Rattus norvegicus: one gene and its partner. The protein of the gene in region 1 purifies or fractionates together with the protein of each later gene. This does not show direct contact. Links are inferred from orthologs where the notes say so. Each region holds a gene or a part of one and is shown on either strand. Other genes may lie near its edges.

The links.
Region 2: the proteins of Lnpep (region 1) and Canx purify together in Homo sapiens (affinity purification with mass spectrometry; 3 studies listed by BioGRID and IntAct, with this or other methods). This does not show direct contact. The link is inferred for Rattus norvegicus from reciprocal best matches to the Homo sapiens genes LNPEP and CANX.

Annotation. Positions count from the first base shown.
Region 1 is NC_086019.1:67,024,588-67,029,113, forward strand, and holds the start of Lnpep (leucyl-cystinyl aminopeptidase), read right to left. Parts: upstream 3,024-4,526; 5' UTR 2,953-3,023; coding exon 2,934-2,952; intron 1-2,933. UniProt on the Homo sapiens protein: Release of an N-terminal amino acid, cleaves before cysteine, leucine as well as other amino acids. Degrades peptide hormones such as oxytocin, vasopressin and angiotensin III, and plays a role in maintaining homeostasis during pregnancy.
Region 2 is NC_086028.1:35,154,983-35,159,538, forward strand, and holds the start of Canx (calnexin precursor), read right to left. Parts: upstream 2,876-4,556; 5' UTR 2,780-2,875; exon of another isoform or gene 2,732-2,779; intron 1-2,731. UniProt on the Homo sapiens protein: Calcium-binding protein that interacts with newly synthesized monoglucosylated glycoproteins in the endoplasmic reticulum. It may act in assisting protein assembly and/or in the retention within the ER of unassembled protein subunits.

The DNA of each region.
Region 1 (4,526 bases):
AATAATAACAGAAAATTAATTCACTCCTATGTTTTTAAAGTCTCTCTTTATTTACCTGACAAACTTCCCCCAAACCCTCTTTAAATGAGTATTTCTACTATCATCAAAATGCAATCAGACATTTCCAGGCCTGACCCTGGGCCTCCTTAACCAGATTTTGCAATTAAGCCCTGAATTTTAGCATCTCTTAATTCAAACTGAAGTTATTCTGTGAGATCTCAAGCAAATGAGAAGAAAGGTAGAAGGACATCTAGTAATTAGCTGTCTTAATCTAGTATCTCTTAGAAAACTTAGCTTCCAGGAACTTTCTGTGGTGTTAATAAGCCAACAGGTCACTACTCTCCTAAGAGTTTCGTCTCTGCTTGCCTAACAGGAGGAGGCAGCTACTATCAAACCAATCATAAGTATGAGTTAACATTCCTGTACCCATAAAAAGTCACCAGAGAAACCAGAGACAGACCAGATGTCCGGCTTTCAGTGCAGTAACAGTCCCTCTCAAGGTCAAGGCAAAAAATATTATTTCCTGAGCCGAATAGGAACTTCTGGCACTAAAGTCCATCTTTATAGGCCTTTTCTAGAAGCATGAATTTCAAATGGGTTGCAACAGTTATTAACCAAACTGATGAACACAAGATATTTATTAATACATGAACCTATTACTCCGGGCAGAGAACAAGGCTCAAGAAAATGAGTCACTCCAGCAGCACATTTCACAGAAAATAGGGAAATTATAGAAAATGCTACCGGGGTCACTGAGTTCTGGAGTTGGAATGACGAGACTAAATTCATTTACTTTATGGACTTGTGAGTCAGTCAATGAACTGCTGACAGTATTTTAGGAAAGCCAAGGGTCCAGGGTTACTGAAACTTCACCATACATCTATACATACCTCCTTATGAAGGGACATACAAGCGCATGTAAATGAGAAAGGTTTACTAAAGGAGGATCAATTACTAAGGCCAATATTAAGCTTGATAAGTCCTTCAACCATAAATTGTAAAATGATCAGATAGTCTGTAAGAGAATATCTATAGAATTACACATTGATGTTTTGCACTCAAAAGCCTAACTACAGAAATATAGTTTCCACTATATATTTGAAGATACTTGAAAATCCTACAGCAAACTTTCAAAAGTTTTAAAGGAAATACCTTTTCCACCTTCAAATCTGCAAAGTACCTTAAATTAGCAATATCCAAGGTCTTGTTTACATTATATGGTGTAGTTCCTACTTTCCTGATTAAAGGAGGACAAATAACATTAACTAAAATGACATATTGCCAATCAATTCCAACGTCAACTGTGGAAAAACTGGTAGCTTTCTACAACTAGAAATACAACTTCCTATATGAAAGTTGAACTTTTGTCTCTTTTCTCTAGGGTTTTCCCATGGTCCTCCCAAATGAGACAATTTGTAAATACATCTTAAAAAGTGATATTCTGTGGGAGGAGAAAAGATTTTAACTTCAAGGTGTGAAAATCTACTTTAATTCTGTAGGGAAAGGTTCAGCATGTCAACCACCGATAAAACTGACTAAATAAATGACTCACTCCTGTGTAGACACTGTTTTCAAATGAGTGAAATTTCATATTTAAAAATCCTACAAACAAGGAGCCTCCAATAATTCTGCCTAAGAGGAAGAAAACGTCTTGGAATATTTAATACCTCTTTTAAGCGTATTTTACAGTCAATTACTAGATGGTCTCTATGATGCCTTTCAGTACAAATCTTCCTTAATTCTTTGGGTAAGTTTACCAGACTATTCTTAGAGCCTTGGTAATTACAAATAGAACACAGATGAGAAAGAAACTTGGAGTTAAAGCTGTCATTACTAAGCCTAATTAAACGCTGCAGACAGAAAGATGGCAGTAGAATAAAGCATCCTGAATTAGGGAAAGGAGAACATAATGAGTAGGTCACTGCTCTAGCAATGTGGTAAAGCATGTTAAAGTACACAACAAAGTCCGGCCTAGGCCTAAGAGTGGATAGAGGGGGTGTCCCCTCCCCCGCCCAGTTCCTTAAGTGGCAAGCAACCCACCCAAACAGTAATACGCTTCTCTCCCATTAATTTGATTTTCTACCTACCTGAAGTAACCAACAGCACTGGAAATGCTCGCCAACTAGAATGTGGATCCTCTAATCTCAGTAAGTCCTACCCTTTATTAGCAGTTTTCCTACTTTATATCCTAGTGAGGAATCAATATATTATATATTTAAACACCATAAAATGGTGAGACATCTCACCTCTATATTGAAACTCAAGCTATGGCTATTTTCTGGCCAGACTGCTTTGACTTTCACCCCCATGCCACCTTATGATATAAGCCCGACAGGGACCATTGATACTCAGTGGGTCTCTAACTAGAAGATCAATATCCCTAGCTGGTAAAAAGAAGTTTGGTCGTCCTGTGGAGCAGCAGCAGGCAGATGGGTGGCAATGCGGGGCAGCATCTTCGCCGCACGGAGCAGTACTAGCCAGACCTTGGTAAGTTTCCTTCCCTGCGATGCACTAAATCACGCTGCCAGCACCACGGCCCCACCCCGCCCTATTACGGAAAAGCAAGCGGGCTGCTCGCTGAAGGACGGGCGGACAGCTCCCCCGCTCCCTGCACCAGTTGGCTTTCACCCGGGCCGCAGCTTATCCCTGCCGTGGCCGCTTCCCCCGGGACCAACGCGGCTGCCAACTTTGCCGCCGCCCCCTCCACGGCGCAAGCATCCCAAACTTTGCGGACTACCTCACCTGGTGGTTCGGCGCCGGTCCCCGGGAGAGGGCTGACCTTCACGCCCGCCCCAGCTGCCCGTGGCCCCTCTGCCGCCCCCGGCCCGCCTGGGAAACCCTTGGCGGGGATGCCTGCAGCCCGACCCCCGTGCCACAACTGACCCTCTAGACCCTGAGAGCCCGGGAATCCGCGACTCAGGTTAGCCACTCACCATTGGTAAAGGTCTCCATCTTCGCCCGCTGCGGGTCCTCACCAGCCCAGCGCCCCAAGCTTTCTACTCCGAGAGCTGAAGCGGCCCCGACGACTGAGCATGCCCAGCAAGGCCTCGGAAGGCTGCCGGGGAGGTGCGGCGAGGGGCGGCGCCGCTCCGCCGCACGGCAACAACACCTTCGTTCCGGGTTTTCGCAACTGCTGCAAAAGGCCCACTGAGGCGTGGACGCTGAGCATAGCCCAACCCTTGGCCTACTCCGCGGAGAGGCGGCGGAGAGGCGCTCAGTGCTGGGGCGGGGCTAAGCCCCGCCCCCAGCGGCGCACTCGGAGCCGCCGCGCTGTCTCTGCCGCAGAGCTGTAGTACCCCGGTTCAGACAACTGATACACCTACTACTGCATCCGGCTGTGTTCCGGGTGCGGCAACCCCGGCACTGAGCCCGGAAATGCGGCCGGTGAGGCCGTCGCCACAGAGCCAGTCGCCAAATTCGCGTTCTGAAAGCGGCAAGGCCCGGGCTGCGTCGGCCTCTACGCTGGGCTAGCCCGGGACGACGCTATTCCTAGCGGCAGGAGCAAGCCCTGCGGCGGTGGTCGGCAGGACTTTCCTTCCATTAGCAGAACGCCTTGCAGCTCCTGCTGCAAAACCGGAGGCCAGAGGAAGGGAGGGGCCCGGGAGACGTTGGGTGCCTTTTGCTTAGGGCTGGGCATAAAACTGTGAGCAAATCTCAAAACCCGGCGCGGGGTGTAGGAGAACGGACCGTGCGCGCAGAGGTTGTGGGCCGAGAGGCCGGCCTGCCTAGTCCAGTCCTAACTCGACACCAGCAGTTGACTGCTCCCAGCCTGCAGGGCATGCGACCTGATACTGCCGAGCTAGACTGGAGGGAGCCAAGTTTCCCCTTCCCCCTAAGACTCACGGCCTTGCCTGGGGCCCATTTGTTTCCGGTGCCAAATCGGGGCAGTCCCCCGCAGCCTATGAGATTTCGGCCCCTGCGGCGACTTGGCTGGGCCTTGGCCTCAACAGCGCTAGCCAACTGTCACACACTCCTCCCAAGCTGTCAACCCGAGCAAACAAATCTAAGCTTGAACAAATATCCTGGGCGAAGGAGGGGAGGCAGTGATGTTGTTCGACCGATAAGGAAATTCTAACTATGTTCAAAGAAATAAACCCGAAGCGCAATATTTTTAAGAGGTCAATTGTACCTTCCCACTCCTGATTTACAACACCCTATGAAACCAACTGTACTTGGAGTAACCACTAAACTCCTTACCTAACTCTGGGTCCTCATTAACATTCTGGTCCTTTGCTGGCCCCTGAGGCTTTCATAAGGTTCCTAGAAATTACCAAGTTTCACTCAGCATGGTTAACCATTCCTTAAAAAACAAAAACAACAAAAAGAAAAACCCTCCTACAAAATTGTTCCACCGCTTGACGTTCTATTTACTTACTTCTTCCTGTCATTTTCTTAACTCAAACATCACCCCTGCAGAGAATCCCCTGACCACAACAAGCACAGTGGGTTCTATAAAGATTCCTCCTGCCATTCTCAGAGCACTCTTGGCTTATGTTTATCAAGAATGCAAGATCAGCGGGACAGGT
Region 2 (4,556 bases), on another chromosome or scaffold:
ACTCACTCTGTAGACTAGGCTGGTCTTGAACTCAGAGAGAAATCTATCCTCATGCAGAGATCAAAGGTGAGCCACTACCACACCATCCATCTACTAAATTTTTTTAATTAACTTTTTTCATATTAATTCACTTTAAGATGTGAATACCCAGGATGGAGAGGTGGTTCAGTTCCCAGATGGGCAGCTTATGACAGTCTGTAATTCCAACACCAGGGAATATAATGCCCTTTTCTGGCCTCCACGGGCACCCATGAATATATTGTATATAATTATACCTATATACACATAAAAATGTTTTTAAATATATCTTTTATAAGATTAAAAAATATATATATACAACTTTTTAAAAAAGGCCAGAGAGGGGTCTGAAGGGATGGCTCAGTGGTTAAGAGCACTGACTGCTCTTCCAGAGGCCGAGTTCAATTCCCAGCAACCACATGGTGGCTCACAACCATCTGTAATGAGATCTGGTGCCTCTTGTGACCTGCAGGCATACATAAATAAATCTTTAGAAAAAAAAAGGATAAAAAAATAAAAAATTAAAAAAAGGCCAGAGGGAAGATGTGATTTCATGCACATAAGTATACTGTCCTCAGACACACCAGAAGAGAGCATTGGATCCCATTAGAGATGACTGTGAGCCACCATGTGGTTGCTGGGAATTGAACTCAGGACCTCTGGAAGAGCAGCCAGTGCTCCCAACTGCTGAGCATCTCTCCCGACCTAAATAAATCTTAACGAGATTTTTAAAAAGACATTAATACCACAATATGAAAATTTTCTAGATTCTTTAAAAAAGGAAATTTTTCAGAGCTGAAGACATAGCTCTGGTTAAAAGCACTGGCTGCTCTTCCAGAGGACCCAGGTTTGATCCCCAGCACCAACATGATGGTTCACACACATTGGTACACATACATACATGCAGGCAAAACACGCATACACCAAAAATTAGATAAATAAGCCTAAAAATTCTTACCTAGCACTTGTAGCAATAACAAAGCATTTAATAAGCATGTTCCTAATGAGTTTTACAGTAAGTTATACAGACTACAACTATCTTTGGTTGGCACTTTACTTCTTAGGACTTTTTATGAGCTGCCAATTCTATTTGCCCATTTCCTTATACTTTCCAAAGCAGTTTCTTAGTAGCTGCCCCCTCAAAGGTAAAGCAAGTAGGAGACTCATTCCCATTTATAAAGGACAGGAAGCAAAGCTACTATGCTGGACACTGTATTCTGCAGTTATGCTTACCAACTGCCACTCTACTCCCTTCAAGTTCTCTGGCAGGGCAAGTGACCTCTCCAGGACATGGATGCAAGGTGTGTTGTCAAGATGCACGTGCCTTGTGGCCCTTGAAAGATTACAGAGCTAATTGCACTGTTAAGATAGCAAGGCGGAGACACCCATTTTTCAGACAGCTCAGTAAACTCCTATTGTGGATAGTTCACTTCTATAAACAGTTCTTCAGGGCCTGGCTCACTTGTGTACCCTGCCTGGCCTGTAAGCTTAATTACAGCTCAAGTACAAAATGAGAATCGATTCCGTTCGTGTCCTTTCAAATGGTACTAGAAAATATACTAAGATTTTTCAGATAACCCAATTATTTCTCCCTTTAAAAAGGGGGAGGATTATTTAAAAAACAGGCAGAATCTTCCATTTCCTCAGGGTAAAGAAACCGTAGCTCATCTCTGTCAAGCATTTAATATTCAGTTCGGTTTAACTTCACACAACCAGCAATCACTAATGTCATGACCAGCAGTTAATATACAAGGTGTCATTAATGTGCCCTCAGGACTTAACATAAAAATTAGTATATCAGTGTAATGACCAAAGCATTCACTCCGACTACAAGAAGCCAGTGCAATTACTACTCCTTGAACCTTTACTATACATCCAATTTCTCATTCCCATTACCTTTTAATACAAGACCAGCCATTCTGTCTACTCCTAGGGGACTGAGCCATAAAGTAGAAAATCTCCCAAATCCCACTTCCCCCGATAAACTGCAGTTAGGAGCTTGCACCAGGACTTTTAACCTTAACTAAGAAACCCAAACTGTCTAGTCCTCAGTTACAATCCGAACTGGATTAGAACTACCTGTATGACCTTGGGCCAGTCATTTCAAACTTCTAGGCCTCAGTTTCCTACACTCACTAACTGAACTTTCGCTTGTATTTCCTGCTTTTAAGGTCCAGTGAATACCCTCACTGGATCACTATCTATCATCACCGAATAGGCAGGTGCTTTAATAGTTAAGCCTTAAGTTTCTCAAGCGGTACACGTTCTAGTACATTCTACTCCCTCATCGGGGTGCTATGGTCCAGACTTCGCTTTGGACATATTATTTTCTAATATTGAAACTGTAACGCTTATCTCTATGGATTTACTTCACCTTTCCCTACTATTTGGGCTACCTACTAGGCCTAATTCTAATACTACACCTATACCGGATTACTCAGTCCACCTCTGGGTGGGCCAGGACAGGGCCTAAGAAAACTCTAGAACCAAAGCCATAGGAAGTAGTTAGCTTTCTCAGAGGTCAAGGGAAACCCCAGGACACCTGCCACGCCTCCCGACCCCGGCGGCGCTGCCCAGACCAGTCTCTCTAACCCTGCCGCTCTCCTCATTGCTCTGAGCGTCCGCCCGGGCCTGCGCCACTCGAATGCCCGCCGGACCCTCAGCCGTCGAGATTCCTGCCACGCCCGACCCCCTCCGCCGCGCCGCCGCTCACCCAGACTCGTCCCAGGCCTGAGGTCCCCGCACACGCTTCCCGTCTCACCTCGAGCCTCCCGGGGACCACTGGCGGCTCCCTCACCTTCTCCCACCCGCACACCGGGCCCCGTGCTGCAGTGGAGACAGCGGCAGAGGCGGCCCGACCGTCACGTGCCGCAGAACTAAGAGGCCTCGGCTACCGCCGCCGCGCGAGCGAGCCCCACCGCACGAAGCCCAACCCCGCGTCCGCCCCTCGTTCCTGAGTGGCTACAACAAACGTCAACTCCCGTCCCTTTGCGCAAGATCTGAGAATCTATTGGTAGATACGGCCATCGCTCAAAGCTCTTTCCCATACGCCCCCTAGGGCTATTCTTCGTGGAGCGTGATGATTGGACAAGAGTGAGGCAGGAAGTGGTTGCTGATTGGGTATGAGGAAAGAAGGCGGCCGTCACCAAACGGGCGGGTGCGCGGGCCGGAGGGCGGGCGGATTTGGCGTGCGTCCTCGCGTGGGTCGACCTGGTTCCTCAGGGCCGGTGTGTTGGTGGCCATCCAAAAGACACCTTTTCCCACCCATTGAGTTAGAAACCCTGTTCCAATCCTGTCTGGGACCTATGCCCTTCATCAGAAATGGTGAGAGGTCAGGCCAGTGTGCTTATGCAGCGAATGAGATCCCTCTGGGCAGCAGACACTGTCTTGCGGAGTCATCGCCCTGAACCTGGGACCTTTTTACCTAACAAAACACTATCTAGAGTCACAATCATGCAACATGAACTCACCTTCCCATGTTCCCGTGCTGTTTCAGGCGTTAAAATCAGACATACTCTAGCGACAGGGTGATGCCATGTGCAGATTTAAAATAGCCATTTCGTAACCCACTCCTTTTTCAATATGGTGAAAACGCTGTAAGATTGAAGTGGCTATGGATTTGGCTATGTCTTTGAAAATCCTGATCGCTCCTGGTTGTGTTTGGTGACCCAAAGCTTTGACTACTGGAGAAAGAAACAGATTTTTATCATCTATGTAACTACATATGAAACCAGCTTTGTTCCTGCTACCCCAAGAGAAAGGCAGTTAAGGATTTGATGTTTAGGTCAATTTAGTAACCGCCAATTCTCCCTAATTTTAAAGAAGAAAATCCCTTTCCTTATTTGCCTTATAAAGAGCATGTTTAAAAAAAATGAAGCCAGGTTGGCACATGCTTTAGTCCCAGTTCTTAGGTATTTAGGAGGCTAAGGCAGAAGAATCCCCTTAAGGATCTGGATAGAGAGAGCTCAGTGATCAAGAGCACTTGCTCTTCCAGAGAACTCAGGTTCAGTTCCCATCACTCACAACTGCCTGTAATTCCAGTTCCAGGGGATTTTATGCTGCCTCGAATCCAATGACAGCGGACATTACATAAGTACACATAATTTATACACACACACACACACACACACACACACGCGCGCGCGCGCGTAAGTACACATAATTTACACACACACACACACACGCGCGCGCGCGCGCGCGCGCGCGTGTGTGTGTGTGTGTGTGTGTGTGTGTGTGTGTGTGTGTGTGTGTGTATTTAAATTTGTTTAGGATGGGTGTTCTGGCTTGTGTTACCCAAGATGGCATTGAATTTAAGAGAACAAAAAAAAAATCCTGCAGAGAGGTGTTAAAATATGTCAGTACTGAAGGAGTAGAGGAGTTGAGGCAGAACTTTTCTAAGAAAGAGAAAGAGGTGAGACTTGGCCTGAACCTCATAGATATGCAAATTTTCTGTAGGTGGAGTTGGAAAGAAGTTCTTAAGATGAGAAAACTCTACAGAAAAGCAAGAAAGCGGCTCTCGGGTGTTTGGGAGATCTATA